Linked DNA regions of Drosophila melanogaster. The protein of the gene in region 1 interacts with the protein of each later gene in a biochemical or structural test. Each region holds a gene or a part of one and is shown in the gene's direction. Other genes may lie near its edges.

What was found. Proteins that work in one complex are often made in the same cells at the same time.
Region 2: the proteins of loqs (region 1) and Dcr-2 form a complex in vitro, tested with the Drosophila melanogaster proteins (one study listed by BioGRID).

What each region holds. Positions count from the first base shown.
Region 1 is NT_033779.5:13,380,158-13,387,670, forward strand, and holds loqs (loquacious), read left to right. Parts: upstream 1-2,494; 5' UTR 2,495-2,630; intron 2,631-2,738; 5' UTR 2,739-2,782; coding exon 2,783-3,507; intron 3,508-3,579; coding exon 3,580-3,865; coding exon of another isoform or gene 3,866-3,934; exon of another isoform or gene 3,935-4,008; intron 4,009-4,369; coding exon of another isoform or gene 4,370-4,499; coding exon 4,500-4,637; intron 4,638-4,664; exon of another isoform or gene 4,665-4,826; coding exon 4,827-5,075; 3' UTR 5,076-5,514; downstream 5,515-7,513. Other genes in the region: beta'COP (coat protein (coatomer) beta'), read left to right, coding at 20-602, 838-2,024; Ing5 (inhibitor of growth family member 5), read right to left, coding at 5,778-5,879, 5,942-6,100, 6,331-6,533, 6,600-6,956, 7,020-7,056; CG7099 (uncharacterized protein), read left to right, coding at 7,479-7,513.
Region 2 is NT_033778.4:17,574,439-17,584,433, reverse strand, and holds Dcr-2 (Dicer-2), read left to right. Parts: upstream 1-2,908; 5' UTR 2,909-3,007; coding exon 3,008-3,028; intron 3,029-3,088; coding exon 3,089-3,219; intron 3,220-3,340; coding exon 3,341-3,518; intron 3,519-3,957; coding exon 3,958-4,265; intron 4,266-4,321; coding exon 4,322-5,018; intron 5,019-5,081; coding exon 5,082-5,639; intron 5,640-5,705; coding exon 5,706-5,880; intron 5,881-5,938; coding exon 5,939-9,039; 3' UTR 9,040-9,455; downstream 9,456-9,995. Other genes in the region: CG6484 (uncharacterized protein), read left to right, coding at 491-1,192, 1,609-2,304; Rab4, read right to left, coding at 9,892-9,995.

The sequences.
Region 1 (7,513 bases):
TCGTTCTTTTCTTCTAAAGGTCAATCTAAAGACTATTGCTGATGGCACAGAGATCAAGGATGGCGAACGCTTGCCCGTTGCCACCAAGGATATGGGCGCCTGCGAGATTTACCCGCAGACCATTGCTCACAATCCCAACGGTCGTTTCGTCGTTGTATGCGGCGATGGCGAGTACATCATCTACACATCGATGGCCCTGAGAAATAAGGCTTTCGGTTCCGCGCAAGAATTTGTGTGGGCCCTCGAGAGCAACGAGTACGCCATCAGGGAGAACAACGGCACCGTTCGACTCTTTCGCAACTTCAAGGAGCGCAAGAGTTTTACTCCAGAGTACGGAGCCGAGAGCATATACGGTGGCTACTATTTCGGTGTAAAAACCTCATCCGGATTGGCCTTCTATGACTGGGAGACGTTGCAACTGGTGAGGCGCATCGAGGTGCAGCCAAAGAATGTGTTTTGGAACGAAAGTGGCAGTCTGGTCTGCTTGGCCACAGATGACTCCTACTTTGTCCTGGGGGTGGACACTGCCCAGGTTGCCAATGCCGTAGAGACCAAGGAGGGACTGGAGGATGATGGTGTGGAGAGCGCTTTCAATGTGCTGGGTAAGTTGATACCAATTATCTAATATGTATCTTATCTTTAGAATACGTGTCTCAAACACGATTTCTCAAATGAGATTCCGCTTTCAATATTCCTATAGAGAGCATACAACAATGGTTTACTCTGTATTTCACCATGAGAGCAAACTATTTTAAATTTAAATTTAAAAAAATATTTCCATTTACCACATAATAGCAAGAAAGTATAATTGTATTGTATTATGCATTTGTGTTGCAGGCGAGGTTTCGGAGTGCGTCAAAACAGGACTTTGGGTGGGAGACTGCTTCATCTATACCAACTCGGTGAACCGCATCAACTACTACGTGGGCGGCGAGATTGTGACAGTATCCCACTTAGACCGCACAATGTATCTGCTGGGCTACGTGCCCAAGGACAATCGTATTTACCTCGGCGATAAGGAGTTGAACGTGATCAGTTTCTGTCTGCAGCTGTCCGTGCTGGAGTACCAGACGGCGGTTATGCGAAGAGACTTTGAGCGCGCAGACGTTGTGCTACCGACCATTCCCAAGGAGCACCGCACTAGGGTGGCACATTTTCTGGAGAAACAGGGCTTTAAGTCGCAGGCCCTGCAAGTCTCTACCGATGCCGACCATAAGTTTGACTTGGCCTTACAGATCGGAGATTTGGAAATCGCCTTAAAGCTGGCCCGTGAGTCGGAGAACTCCCAGAAGTGGTCACAGCTGGCAGATGTGGCGTCTAGCAAGAACAACATGTCTCTGGTTAAAGAGTGCATGCAGAAGGCAAACGACTTAAGCGGTCTATTGCTGCTCTCAACAGCTTCCGGCGATGCCCAGCTGCTCGAGGTGGTGGGTGCGGCTGGCTCGGCCCAGGGACATCACAATCTAGCTTTCCTCTCGGCGTTCCTTCGTTCAGACGTGGAACGCTGCTTGGAGATTCTCATTGAGACAAATCGGTTGCCAGAGGCAGCGTTCTTTGCCCGCACCTACCTGCCCAGCCAGATGTCAAGGATCGTAGAGCTTTGGCGGGAGAAGCTTGGAAAGGTCAACGAAAAGGCGGGACAGTCGCTGGCCGATCCGGCACAGTATACAAATCTCTTCCCTGGCCTGGGCGATGCGCTGCGGGTGGAGCAGCATTTGCAGGAGGAGCGAGCTCGTAAGGCGCCGGCACGCCTCGCTGCGAATCTACCACTGAATAGCGAACGTCATCCTCTGCAAGAACTATTTGCCGCCGAGCAGGGTGCCGCCGGCCAGCATTTGGAGGAGAAGGTGAAGCCAGCTTACGTTCCCGCTCAAGCTGTTGTTTCTAGCAGCCAGGTGGCCGAGCCTACATCCGCTGCGGATGACGACGACGACCTGGACTTGGAAATAGATGGAATTACGTTGGATGATAACATTGATACGACAGATGTGAACCTCGATGACGATTTTCTAAGCGACGATTAGGACGGAAGATCACAGCCAGATCTAGAATACCATTTAAACTATCGTTTACTGCTACGGGAGTCCCACATTTCGTGCATTTCGAGCCACAGAATTCCGCGCATGCATTCACATTTGATTTGATTGAATGTTGTTTAAATATATATCTATTAATAATATGTACAACAGTAATGGAGCAAACACTGCAATAAATACTTATACAACAATTTCAAATATGGCGCTCACTTCAACTATTTCGATTACATTCTGATATCTTATCGATAAAACTTTTAAACAAACTTACGATCATGCCAGGAGAAATTAAAAATTATTTTTGTTCTTTTTTTTTTTTGAGTTAAATTAGTATTCATGGTCTATTTTATTATATATTTGTACAAAAAAATGTTCTGTACCTGTTACATACATTTATTTCAACATATTTACTCTACGAGTAGGGGGTGTAATAAGTAGGCAATCCAAAAAAAGTCTGGCAACCACAAATATCAGTAAAATACATACAATTCGTGTGTGCGTCTGGATTTTGCTGTATTTTTTATTTAAGAATGAATTATTAACTAACCATTAATAAATTATTATTAAATAAAAAACAGTTAAAACCGCGATTCAAACGTGAGTACTCCCCGAATTTCGGCGAGAGTGTCAACTGGACTTTTCGCCCGCTATTCGTCGGTGATGTATCGATTTTTCAAACAACAATTACCCCGAAATTTTAAACAGATACACACCGAATCCTCCCGAAAACCGTGCAAAACAAGAACACCATGGACCAGGAGAATTTCCACGGCTCCAGCTTGCCGCAGCAGCTACAGAACCTCCACATCCAGCCGCAGCAGGCGTCCCCCAATCCTGTCCAGACGGGATTTGCTCCACGGCGGCACTATAATAACCTTGTCGGCCTGGGCAATGGAAATGCCGTCAGTGGTAGTCCGGTGAAGGGTGCTCCGCTGGGGCAGCGCCATGTGAAGCTCAAGAAGGAGAAGATATCCGCCCAGGTTGCGCAGCTGTCTCAGCCAGGTCAGCTGCAGCTGTCAGATGTTGGTGATCCTGCCTTGGCGGGCGGATCGGGCTTACAAGGTGGAGTCGGCCTTATGGGCGTAATATTGCCCAGCGACGAGGCCTTAAAGTTCGTCAGCGAAACGGACGCCAATGGACTGGCCATGAAGACGCCCGTCAGCATTCTGCAAGAGCTGCTAAGCCGACGAGGAATTACTCCCGGCTATGAACTTGTCCAGATCGAGGGCGCCATACATGAGCCGACCTTCCGGTTTCGCGTGTCCTTTAAAGACAAGGATACGCCCTTCACGGCCATGGGGGCAGGACGATCGAAGAAGGAGGCCAAGCATGCGGCGGCCCGTGCGCTCATCGACAAGCTGATCGGCGCGCAGCTGCCGGAATCGCCTAGCAGCTCCGCTGGTCCGTCGGTGACTGGGCTCACGGTCGCCGGAAGCGGAGGAGACGGCAATGCCAATGCCACAGGCGGAGGAGAGTGAGTTTTTATTCTATTGATGTCTAAGATATGATTCTAAGATATCCAATTTATTGTATTATGTCCTTGCAGTGCCAGCGACAAGACCGTTGGTAATCCGATTGGCTGGTTGCAGGAAATGTGCATGCAACGGCGATGGCCACCGCCGTCGTACGAAACGGAAACGGAAGTGGGTCTTCCCCACGAGCGGCTCTTTACGATCGCCTGCTCGATACTCAACTACCGCGAGATGGGCAAGGGCAAAAGCAAGAAGATAGCCAAGCGCTTGGCCGCCCACCGCATGTGGATGCGTCTGCAGGAGACTCCCATCGATTCGGGCAAAATCAGCGACAGCATCTGCGGCGAGTTGGAGGGCGAAGTGAGTATCATTCAAGACATCGATCGTTACGAGCAAGTCTCTAAAGATTTTGAGTTCATCAAGATCTAACCCACAAGCAATTTTCTAATATTTTTAGTGCAATTATTTTGAATGCAGTCCCATGCTTTAGTTTATAAAATTTTAAAAATTGATTTTATCAAATATATGTCATAAATGTTATATATTATTTAATACGTTTGTCCTCTATCCCTTCTCAAATGTAATGTAGAACGTTTAGAGTAATCCTCAGTTGTAAATATCCCTATAATCTTTTAAATTATGTATCTAGCTAGAGTTTTAGTACTATAGCATCCCTTTTATAGTGTGCTATCTGATATTTTTTATTGTCCTTGTTTTTATAACTAATGTTTTTGACATAATTATACATATAATTAACATAATGCTTACACCTTATTTATATTTCTGGTTTTATTTATGGTTTATATTGGCTTATTTCATTTTTCATTTTTCATATTGTTCCTTGGCATGGTGATTGTTTTAAAGAACGAATCTGTAAAGCACCTTTTCCACACAAAAGTGATATGTTTCAACTCACCATTGGCGTGTGTGATTTCAAATGTGTGCGAAATGCAATGGAGAAAAGAAACCAAAAACTTTGCGCTCTTATTTACAGCCCCGCAGTAGTGAAAATTATTATGGTGAATTGAAAGATATCTCTGTGCCGACACTGACCACGCAGCACAGTAACAAAGTATCCCAGTTCCATAAGACCCTAAAAAATGCAACGGGCAAAAAACTGCTTAAGTTACAGGTAAATTTCAATCCAATAACGCTTTTTATTCAAAAACGATCACAAACATATTTCCAACATTCAAAACCTGCTTTCGAAAGTACATATTTGCCTTAACCCCTCACAATCCTTATAATAATAGTGTTCTTGCTTGAAAGTTCAAAGTTTAATTTGACTCTGCTAATTCGACTCCATTTGTATTTTTTTCAGAAGACTTGCTTGAAGAACAACAAGATTGATTACATCAAGCTGCTGGGCGAAATCGCCACGGAGAACCAGTTCGAGGTGACCTATGTGGACATAGAGGAGAAGACCTTCTCTGGCCAGTTCCAGTGCCTGGTTCAACTGTCCACGCTGCCCGTTGGCGTTTGCCACGGCAGCGGACCAACAGCTGCCGATGCCCAGCGGCATGCCGCCCAGAATGCCCTCGAGTACTTGAAGATCATGACCAAGAAGTAGGGGGTGCAGCCAACTGAATAGCAAAATCTGAACGCACACCACGACCACGATCACGAGTATTTGATGAGAGCGATTACCGAGTGGATACGGGATAACTAATGCACCAGTCTAATTGCTTTTCTTTCCACTTTTTGGCTCAATGCAGTGGCGATGTTACATATATATATATATATATTTTGTTTCTTTTCCACCGATTCCTTTGATTAGGCAGTTGTATTTGTTAACTGCATATGTAAATGTTCATATATGTACTACACTTACCGATGAATGTATGTACGCTTGCAAATACAGACAAGCGTGTAATCGATATTGGAATCTTCTAGTCGCTTTCAAATTCTGAAAAACGTAAAACGGCAGATAAAACTAGGTTTAAGGTAGACTACGTGCTAGTTTGCGAAGGAAAAAGGCTTATGAATATAATCGGTATTTGGTAATCGCTACTTTTGCAGTTTTCTTTTCCTTGGGCTGAAAAACTTTGTAAACTCCGAATTAAAGGGCATTGATGAATTGAAATTAATCAATCCAACTTTAGAAATATTCTGTGAAAACATCTTTTATGATATGGAATTATTTAACTACAAATTAGTTAGGAAATAAATTGACAAATATAATACTGAAGTTATAGTAGCCGTGGCTTTATTTAAATAGGTAATTTTGTGCTTAATCTAAAGTAGTATTCTAAGTAATCATAAAGGATTGCATCTATTTCTTCTTTCTGTCCTGCGTACACTTGGGACAGAACCACTTGCCCTTTGGCTTTGTGGTGAGGCCAACACAAGCGAAGTGAAACCACTCGATGGGACACTAAAATGGTAGAGTGAAAGATCTAGAACTGACCACAGAGTACATCAAAATCGAATACTCACGTCGGGATTGTCGCAGCCAATCATCTCTCCATAGGACACCTGGTGGCATAGGCAATATGTGGGCTCATTGGGATCGACGGGCATGTCCATAACGTCGCTGGGATGAGTGGCGGCCGTGTGGCACGATTCCTTCTCAGAGTCATCAACCTCGACGGTTTTCTAAATGGGTATGTTAGCAAAATGAGTAAGAATGGGGTTTCGACGATAGTGGAGGCGTGCATGTACATAAGTGAAAATGCAAACGATATGGAAAACAGTGGATAATGCAGGATTTCTATGGGGATAATCTATAAAAGTAAAGAGTATTCTATTTAGGGTCAATGAAAACTGGGAAACAGTAAACATACTAAAGTTCTAACAATGTATAGATGAGAATGTGGATGGTTTACCTTTTGAGCGCCCCCCTTGCGAGTTTCTTTTTCTTGATTTACCTTGGACTTTTTCTTTTTGCTACCTTGCCCGGCATTGCTGCTCGAATTGACACTGGAATTGGCGTTAGATTGGTTGTTGCCGCGCCCAGTTTCCTCATCCGAGGATGCGGACTTTTTCTTTTTGCCCGTCGTCTTGCTGTCCTTGGTTTTTTTGCGACCTTCTGTACAAATGGAATCAAAGGAAGGGGTCAGCTTGTGGAAGAATAGATACTTTGGAACAGTCTTACTCTTGGCCACCACTTCCTCGGATTTGGCACGCGTGGATGAGGCCTTCTCCTGAATCTCACCCTCGAAGCGTGCTAAATCGTTGTCCAGTCGCCGTATCTGCTTGTCCACTAGTTCGTAGGTCTGAATGGCCAGCTGCACCTTGTCGTCGCTGTACTCCTTGGCCTTTCCGAACAGTGCCTTGATATCCTCCTGGCGCTCCCTCCTCTCATCCTCGCTCATGGCCCCGTTCTCGCCCAGCTTGCGCATAAAGTCCTTGGCATGGCTATCGATGCTCTTCATCGCTGTTTGTGCTCGATCGTCTAATTTTCGCATCAGCTTAAAATTTCTCTCCAGCTCCGTTGGCAGACTTTCCAATCCTGTTTGTAAATCGTGAATAATATATGTTTTCGAGTGTTTTCCATGCTTAAGAATCTTCTTACCGTCTAAATAGTTCTCTAGGTATATAGCCGATGACATTTTCGGTGTCAAATATCGGATTTAACAAAGAATATGGAGTGTGTAAGCTAAATTCCAGCGTCTGTTTACGATAGCAACAGCTGTATTGTTGTACATGGGATATTTAGGGATGACAGCTCGCTTTTTAAAGTTATCGATTACTTTACAGTGGTTAAAAGCATAACCCAAAACAATTGGGCAGTGCTTAAATTTAAAAATTAAAAGAAAAAATAAAATATTTACATTAAGTAGATTTCGGATCGGATTTTGTGGTAGTTATTTGCTAAATCTTTGAAAAACTTTTAGTTACGACTGCGCAACAGCTGTTTTTAAGTGTGGTTACAACTTTATGATGGTTGGCAACTCTACATCTAGTATAATCACAATCAAAAACACTAATTTGTTTTGATAGCTCATTTTAAAGGTAAATTAAGTTTTGAAAAATGAGCGCCAGTTCCGGAGGATCCTGGATTAATGC
Region 2 (9,995 bases), on another chromosome or scaffold:
CAATCGCACAGAGTTAGAGATGATGAAGCATTTATTATGGTCGGGGGGACCACTTCGTTCCACACAACTTACATACTTTCGAACTCACTCCCAATCCCAAGGGCTAGCGGGCGGACTTCGCCGCAGGGCATAGATTCGGGTAATTGTTGTGGAATCACTTGATTGCTACAACATGTTGGAACATGTGTTGTTGCTGGAGTCGGGCTTTTAATTAGCTGCTTTGGCTCTCAAGTGATTTTGGGCGCTCTCAATGACGCTGCGCCGCCTCCACCTATCATCTGTCACCTGGTTTTGTGGGTGAAACTATGGCCAACTGATTTACGGCTCTGACTTGCGGTGCTTGACTTTCTCGGTCGACGTCGCTGCTTTAGTTATCGCATGAAAAGCGATTTTTCCAGCGTAATAACGGTCGCGTGGCGAATTCAGTTCGTTTCCGGCGATCGACAAGGAAACACCTATAAAAACCAATTTAAAAAAAAAACCCCTCGCCATGTCCAAGGGATCGGTGTTGCCACAATATATTGCTGGCTTGTCGGCCAGCTTTGGTGCCCTCTGCATGGGCGCCTCCATTGGTTGGTCCTCGCCCGTGGAGAATATGATAACGGTGAACACGGAATACGGCTTTCCCATTAGCTCCAGTCAGTTCGGCTGGGTATCCTCGCTGCTGACCCTGGGCGCCACTGTGATCTGCATTCCCATTGGTTTCGCCATCGATTGGATCGGCAGGAGACCCACTATGTTAGCCCTAATTCCACCGTACATGGTGGGCTGGGTGCTGATGCTGTTCGCCAAAAACGTGACCATGCTCTACTTCGGACGATTCATTCTTGGCATGTGCGGCGGAGCCTTTTGCGTAACAGCTCCCATGTACTGTACAGAGATTACGGCGACAGCACTACGAGGCACCATCGGATCCTTTTTCCAGCTGCTGATTGTGTCGGGCGTGCTGTACGGCTATTTGGTGGGCGCCTTCCTGCCCCTGCTCACCATCAATATCCTGTGCGCTATTCTGCCCGTAATCTTTGCTATCATACACTTCTTCATGCCGGAGTCACCCGTCTACCTGGCCATGAAGGGACGCAACGATGATGCCGCCAAGGCCTTGCAGTGGCTGCGCGGCAAGGATGCCGATATCGATGACGAGCTCAAGGAGATCCTGGAGGAGTCCCAGAAGCAGATTGATATGCCACAGGTTAGTTAACATTCCACTAATAATCAATCAATCAATCAAAATCGATCGATATTGAAGGCATAAAGAAACTTTATAAAGGGTTCGCAGGGCTTTAACAGATTTATTACTCTTTCCATTATCACACAATCGGAAGTGATACATACATATACTTACCCTGATAAAAGAAATGTTGTAAATTCAGATAGTATATAATATTTTGTTTTCATTCATTAAGATTTTCAATAACTTGAACCAAGATAGGGTTTGCATTAAACTTAAACGATTTCGTAGTTAAACTACATATGAACACAGGTACGTAATTTGTTTCCATTATTCCATTTAGTAATCAGTGTAGCAGATACTACTTATCATACCTAATAAATACATTGATTTTGGTGAAGATTAGAAAATAATACGTGGTCTTATTTTTATTGCAGGTCAACATTCTGTCCTCCCTTCGTCGACCCATCGTCCTGAAGGGTCTTGGAATCGCTGTGCTCCTGCAGGTCTTCCAGCAGTGGACGGGAATCAACGCCGTTCTCTTCTACTCCGCCTCCATTTTCGAGGATACGGGCTCTGACATAAGTGGCAGCGATGCCACGCTTATCATTGGAGTCACCCAAGTGACCAGCACGCTGGTTGCCGTGGCCATTATCGACAAGGCTGGCCGTCGCATCCTGCTCCTTATCTCTGGCGTTCTGATGGCCGTGTCCACTGCACTGATGGGCGTGTACTTTCAGCTAAAGGAGAACGATCCGGCTTCAATGGACAATTTCGGTTGGTTGCCGATCAGCAGTATCTGCATTTTCATAATCTTCTTCTCGATTGGATTCGGACCGGTGCCGTGGCTGGTGATGGCGGAACTCTTCTCGGAGGATGTGAAGAGTGTGGCAGGATCGATTGCCGGCACCAGCAACTGGCTGTCGGCCTTCGTGGTCACGCTGCTCTTCCCAATCCTCAAGAGCTCGATCGGGCCGGGTCCGACCTTTTGGATCTTTACCGCGATCGCGGTCATCGCCTTCTTCTACTCTCTGTTCTTCGTGCCGGAGACCAAGGGCAAGACAATAATCGAAATCCAGGACCTGCTGTCCGGAGGAAAGGGTGTCAAAAGTGATGACAAGAGCCAGACGTGATGATGTCGCGTAGTCTTAGTCGTAGCGATACTTTTTCATATTCTCCTTAAGCCAATAAGAAAATGTTATGTATAAGAAGTGAAGAGCATAATCAATAAAGTAGAATCACCATGTATATAAACTACCCGATTGAATTTTCGTTCATTTCCGTCAGTGTAGTTCTAATTAGACTCAATTAGTATAATTCTAATTAGTTTGACAAGATTTTAAGTCTTGGAAAAAAATGAGGAAATAAGAAACTTTACTCGTATGGAGGAGGGCTGCAAACGAAGGTCTAAATGATCTAAGGATAGTATGGGTCAAAAAGTGATGTGATATATTCTTAACAATTGGTATTGATTAAGAATTCAAATAATAAATAATTCACGAACTTACACTACCGAAAATGCTTATTATTTTGTTGCAGATTTCGATAAAAATGGAAACGTTTATTATTTCCGGAAGGTATATTATTGGCAGCGAGCATTTCAAAACAAATTTATTTATGTTGCGGTTTGTGGTAATAATTTAAGTTCAAAGAACCGCACTGCGTAGTGTGACCAGTCCGTTTTGAAACACAATTCTTAATACGTTTGACACAAGGCATCTTATAAGAGCCGCTGGCCACTCTGTCACCGGCTTCTTTGTTCTTTAATCGTAAATTATTTGACTTCAAATTGTAATATCAAAATATCCCGAAGACTCTGTAACCAAGAGCGAAGATATGGAAGATGTGGAAATCAAGGTAAAATGAATTGGCTTGCGCTCTCGCTTATTGCAAAATAATTAACAAAATCCTTTCCAGCCTCGCGGCTATCAACTTCGCCTGGTTGACCACCTAACGAAGAGCAATGGCATTGTCTACCTGCCCACAGGATCTGGGAAAACGTTCGTGGCCATCCTGGTCCTAAAGCGCTTCTCGCAGGACTTTGACAAGTTAGTAGCGAATGGATATACATATATATATTATTATATGTATTACCTATATCCGATACTTACATTTATATATATATTATTATATGTAATACCTATATCGGATTCCGATTTGTTTACACAGACCCATCGAAAGCGGCGGAAAGCGTGCGTTGTTCATGTGCAATACTGTGGAATTGGCCCGACAACAGGCGATGGCCGTCAGGCGGTGCACCAACTTTAAGGTTGGCTTTTATGTGGGTGAACAGGGAGTGGATGACTGGACGCGCGGAATGTGGAGTGATGAAATCAAAAAAAACCAAGTGAGTATAGGATGGCGGAGGCATTTTTTATATACGCATATGATCACGTACGGACTAAACACTACACTACCACTACACACTGCAATTGCGATCACCACTTGAGTCGAAAAATTTGGGATCAGCATTTTTATGGGCTCGTAAGGGGTCGTGTTTTGCTAAGCCATCACAAAATCATCATTTCGTCAATTGATGTATTTTATTTGTTTTTTTTTTTTTTTGTAGTATGTTTATTTGTTTATTTATTTATTTTATTTGTTTATTTAAAATTAACTTGAGTTTGTGGATTGTTCTGGATCATCGAGTAGTAGATTTGATGGTCATTTTTATTACATTGAATTCATGTTAGACTTTTCAGTGTAATTCGAGGAATATTTATAGTTAATAATAATACACTGCTTCCAGAATTAAACCTACATGTGTAATTTTTGGTTCTTAACAGGTTCTTGTTGGCACAGCCCAGGTCTTTTTGGACATGGTCACCCAGACGTACGTGGCTTTAAGCTCCCTGAGCGTTGTCATCATAGACGAGTGCCACCACGGCACTGGTCACCACCCATTTCGTGAGTTCATGCGATTGTTCACTATCGCTAATCAAACAAAATTGCCGCGCGTGGTGGGTCTCACCGGGGTGTTAATCAAGGGAAATGAAATTACGAACGTGGCCACGAAACTTAAAGAGCTAGAGATCACATATCGGGGAAACATCATTACCGTGTCCGACACCAAGGAGATGGAAAACGTGATGCTGTAAGAGCGGGTGGCATTTTAGCTACAGTTTCCCAACAAGTGCATATTCTTTTCAGGTACGCCACCAAGCCCACAGAGGTCATGGTGTCCTTTCCACATCAAGAGCAAGTGCTCACGGTTACAAGGTTAATAAGCGCAGAAATTGAAAAGTTCTATGTATCCTTAGACCTCATGAATATTGGCGTTCAACCGATCCGAAGGTCAAAGTCATTGCAATGCCTGCGGGATCCGTCGAAGAAGAGCTTTGTAAAGCAACTGTTCAACGATTTTCTGTACCAGATGAAAGAGTATGGCATCTACGCAGCTTCCATAGCCATAATCTCGTTAATTGTTGAGTTCGATATAAAGAGGCGCCAGGCCGAGACGCTAAGCGTGAAATTGATGCATAGGACGGCCTTGACCTTGTGCGAGAAAATCCGTCACTTGCTGGTGCAAAAACTGCAAGACATGACTTATGACGACGACGATGACAACGTAAACACTGAGGAAGTCATTATGAACTTCTCCACCCCGAAAGTGCAGCGATTCCTGATGAGTCTTAAGGTATCCTTCGCTGATAAAGATCCCAAAGATATCTGCTGTCTGGTCTTTGTTGAACGCCGCTACACCTGCAAGTGCATCTATGGCTTGCTGCTCAACTACATCCAGTCTACGCCTGAGCTGCGAAACGTGCTCACGCCCCAATTCATGGTGGGCCGCAACAATATTTCTCCAGACTTTGAGAGCGTCTTGGAGAGAAAATGGCAAAAATCTGTAGGTGTGGAAATTATCGTTAATTGCTGATATTTTTCAAAATATGCTCTTACCGTCTCGCAGGCCATTCAGCAGTTTCGGGACGGTAATGCCAATCTTATGATATGTTCAAGCGTCCTAGAAGAAGGCATCGATGTGCAGGCCTGCAATCATGTCTTTATTCTTGATCCTGTTAAAACCTTTAACATGTACGTGCAGTCAAAGGGTCGGGCTCGTACCACTGAGGCCAAATTCGTGCTGTTCACAGCTGATAAGGAAAGGGAAAAGACAATTCAGCAAATTTATCAGTATCGAAAAGCGCATAATGACATTGCCGAATATTTAAAGGATCGAGTTCTAGAAAAAACTGAGCCAGAATTGTACGAAATCAAAGGGCACTTCCAGGACGATATTGACCCTTTTACCAATGAGAACGGTGCCGTGTTGCTTCCCAACAATGCCCTGGCCATACTGCATCGCTATTGCCAGACAATTCCCACGGATGCTTTTGGCTTTGTGATCCCCTGGTTCCATGTATTGCAAGAAGACGAACGTGATAGAATATTTGGTGTTTCTGCCAAGGGCAAGCACGTAATTTCAATCAACATGCCAGTAAATTGCATGCTAAGAGACACAATTTACGTAAGCTAGAGATTCAGATTGAAAATGGCAAAATCAAATAGAGTTAATTGCTTTCATTTCTTTCAGAGCGATCCCATGGACAATGTTAAAACAGCCAAAATATCAGCTGCCTTCAAAGCGTGTAAAGTACTCTACAGTTTGGGAGAGTTAAACGAGAGATTCGTGCCCAAAACATTAAAGGAGCGCGTAGCCTCTATTGCTGATGTTCATTTTGAGCACTGGAATAAGTATGGCGATAGTGGTGGGTTCACAAGAACTCGCATAAGATATGTTTACTTATATTAATCTTTCAACCATAGTGACTGCGACAGTCAACAAGGCCGATAAGAGCAAGGACAGAACCTACAAGACCGAATGTCCATTAGAGTTTTACGACGCACTTCCGCGGGTAGGTGAAATCTGTTATGCCTACGAAATATTTTTGGAGCCGCAGTTTGAATCGTGTGAGTACACGGAACACATGTATTTAAATCTCCAAACACCAAGAAATTATGCTATATTGCTGCGGAACAAGCTGCCACGCCTTGCAGAGATGCCCCTGTTTAGCAATCAGGGTAAGCTACACGTTCGAGTGGCCAATGCACCACTTGAAGTAATTATCCAGAACTCCGAACAGCTGGAGCTGCTCCATCAGTTTCACGGAATGGTATTCCGCGATATCTTGAAGATTTGGCATCCGTTCTTTGTGCTGGATCGTCGCAGCAAGGAGAACTCCTACCTGGTAGTTCCTCTCATACTGGGTGCGGGTGAACAGAAATGCTTTGACTGGGAACTGATGACCAACTTCCGAAGACTACCGCAAAGTCATGGGTCAAATGTACAGCAACGCGAGCAACAACCTGCTCCACGTCCTGAAGATTTTGAGGGCAAAATTGTTACACAATGGTATGCCAACTATGATAAGCCCATGCTGGTCACAAAGGTGCACCGTGAGCTAACACCGTTAAGTTATATGGAAAAGAACCAACAGGACAAGACCTACTACGAGTTTACCATGTCAAAGTACGGCAACCGCATTGGTGATGTTGTTCACAAGGATAAGTTTATGATCGAGGTCAGAGACCTTACGGAACAGCTCACTTTCTACGTTCATAATCGTGGAAAGTTCAACGCGAAGAGCAAGGCTAAGATGAAAGTTATTTTGATTCCGGAGCTATGCTTCAATTTTAACTTTCCTGGGGATTTATGGCTTAAGTTGATCTTCCTACCCAGCATTTTAAACCGCATGTACTTCCTTCTCCACGCAGAGGCCTTACGTAAGCGATTTAATACGTATTTAAACCTCCATCTGCTGCCTTTTAATGGAACTGATTACATGCCCAGACCACTAGAAATTGATTATTCGCTAAAGCGGAATGTCGACCCCTTGGGCAATGTCATACCAACTGAGGATATCGAGGAGCCGAAATCCCTTTTAGAGCCAATGCCCACAAAGTCCATTGAGGCGTCCGTGGCCAATCTTGAAATAACAGAATTCGAAAATCCCTGGCAAAAGTATATGGAGCCGGTTGATCTGTCGCGAAATCTTTTGAGTACGTATCCCGTAGAGCTGGACTACTACTATCATTTTAGCGTTGGTAATGTATGTGAGATGAATGAGATGGATTTTGAAGATAAGGAATACTGGGCAAAAAATCAGTTCCATATGCCCACGGGTAATATCTATGGCAACAGAACTCCGGCCAAGACTAACGCAAACGTGCCAGCTTTGATGCCGTCGAAACCGACTGTCCGCGGGAAGGTAAAACCACTGCTCATTTTGCAAAAAACTGTTTCCAAAGAACATATAACGCCAGCGGAGCAGGGCGAGTTTTTGGCTGCAATCACTGCCTCGAGCGCAGCGGATGTTTTCGACATGGAACGCCTTGAGATTCTGGGCGATTCCTTCTTAAAACTTAGTGCCACGCTCTACTTGGCCAGCAAGTATTCGGATTGGAATGAGGGCACTCTTACAGAGGTCAAATCCAAGCTTGTGTCTAATCGTAACCTGTTGTTCTGCCTCATCGACGCGGACATTCCCAAAACGCTCAACACCATTCAGTTTACGCCTAGATACACATGGCTTCCACCTGGCATCAGTTTGCCCCACAATGTTCTAGCCTTGTGGCGAGAAAATCCGGAATTCGCAAAGATTATTGGCCCACACAATCTCCGTGACTTGGCTCTCGGCGATGAGGAGTCCCTGGTGAAGGGCAACTGCAGCGATATCAACTACAACCGCTTCGTGGAGGGATGTCGAGCAAATGGGCAGTCCTTTTATGCCGGTGCCGATTTTTCATCCGAGGTGAACTTCTGCGTGGGACTGGTCACGATTCCCAACAAGGTGATAGCCGATACCCTTGAGGCGCTATTGGGCGTAATCGTTAAGAACTACGGATTGCAGCATGCCTTCAAGATGCTAGAGTACTTCAAGATTTGCCGTGCGGATATTGACAAGCCGCTTACTCAGTTACTGAACCTCGAACTGGGCGGCAAGAAAATGCGGGCGAACGTGAATACTACAGAAATTGACGGCTTTCTCATAAATCACTATTATTTGGAAAAAAATCTTGGCTACACGTTTAAGGATCGACGATATTTGTTGCAGGCCCTCACCCATCCCTCGTATCCCACTAATCGCATCACTGGGTCCTATCAGGAGCTGGAATTTATTGGCGATGCCATACTCGACTTTCTAATCTCTGCCTATATTTTCGAGAACAATACGAAAATGAATCCGGGCGCCCTCACAGATCTGCGTTCCGCTTTGGTCAACAATACTACGCTGGCCTGCATTTGCGTGCGGCATCGGTTGCACTTTTTTATCCTAGCGGAGAACGCAAAGCTCTCCGAGATCATATCCAAATTCGTGAATTTCCAGGAGAGCCAGGGTCACCGGGTTACCAACTATGTGCGCATTCTGCTCGAGGAAGCTGATGTTCAGCCGACTCCGCTGGACTTGGATGACGAATTGGATATGACTGAGTTACCGCATGCAAATAAATGCATTTCTCAGGAAGCAGAGAAAGGAGTCCCACCAAAAGGTGAGTTCAACATGTCCACAAACGTGGATGTGCCAAAGGCGTTGGGGGATGTTCTGGAGGCCCTTATTGCAGCCGTATACCTGGACTGCCGAGATCTCCAACGTACTTGGGAGGTAATTTTCAATCTCTTCGAGCCGGAGCTTCAGGAGTTCACGCGCAAAGTGCCCATCAATCATATACGACAGCTCGTTGAGCACAAGCATGCGAAGCCCGTGTTTAGCTCGCCCATCGTCGAAGGGGAAACTGTAATGGTTAGTTGTCAATTTACCTGCATGGAAAAGACGATCAAGGTGTACGGATTTGGGAGCAATAAGGACCAGGCCAAGCTATCGGCTGCCAAGCACGCCCTTCAGCAGCTAAGCAAATGCGACGCCTAATATGATGATTCCAGCCCAGTCTAGTTTCTGCTAAACTGCATTGAATTTGCTTTCTAGCCAAGACGTAATCCTTTGGAAGAGGACAGCAAAGGGCACCTAATGAACTTAACTGTATATCTTAGAATTAAAAAATACTTTTCCATCGCTTTAATAGACATAAATGTCTAAAACCAAAAAATCATTTTTGATCACCATAAATTGTTAAGACCTTTTAAATCAAAACAAAAACAGCCCATTTGGAAACACAATCTAAAGATGCTATGCCAATTTCCTCAAATACAAACGGTTTTTAATTATTTTTTTATCAATTATTGCCATTTAAAATGTTTTAGCTTCATTGTTATTAATAAAATTTAATAGCTTCCCCAATACAATATTTGTTACCTTGGGTCGAAATAAATATTTTTATACAATTGAATTTATCAATGGGCGTTTTTATTTACCGCGTGCATGCTTCAATGGGATTTACAATCGGCGACGTCGTCAACGGCGTATCGCTACTTATTTACATTAAAAATGCCGAGTGTATTCTGTTCATCCTCTAGATCAGATCCATGTGCTTATAGCCATACATCATTTGTTGCTCGAGGGCTCTAGTGCTTCACGAATTACAAATTATAGTAAGTAACATTTGGGGTTAACCCGAAATCATAGGTTTTCAAAGTGGTAATTGGTTATGTTAAAAAACAAATCGATTAGCATTATGCTTACAATTGGAATGATTAATCTAGCAAGACAAAATACATACTAAAAAAGTGGACACACACAAGTACACAATACAACTAAGGGGTAATCCGAATGCGCATTCCGGTTTGAGATTAAATGGAAATAAATCAGCACAACTTATGCGACTTAAACGCGACAGGTGCAATCCGGCTTATTGATGCTGCGCTGTCGTGTCTGTAAGTTACGGAGAGCAGCTCCGCCGTACTGAATACCGCTGCCGATGCGCTCGG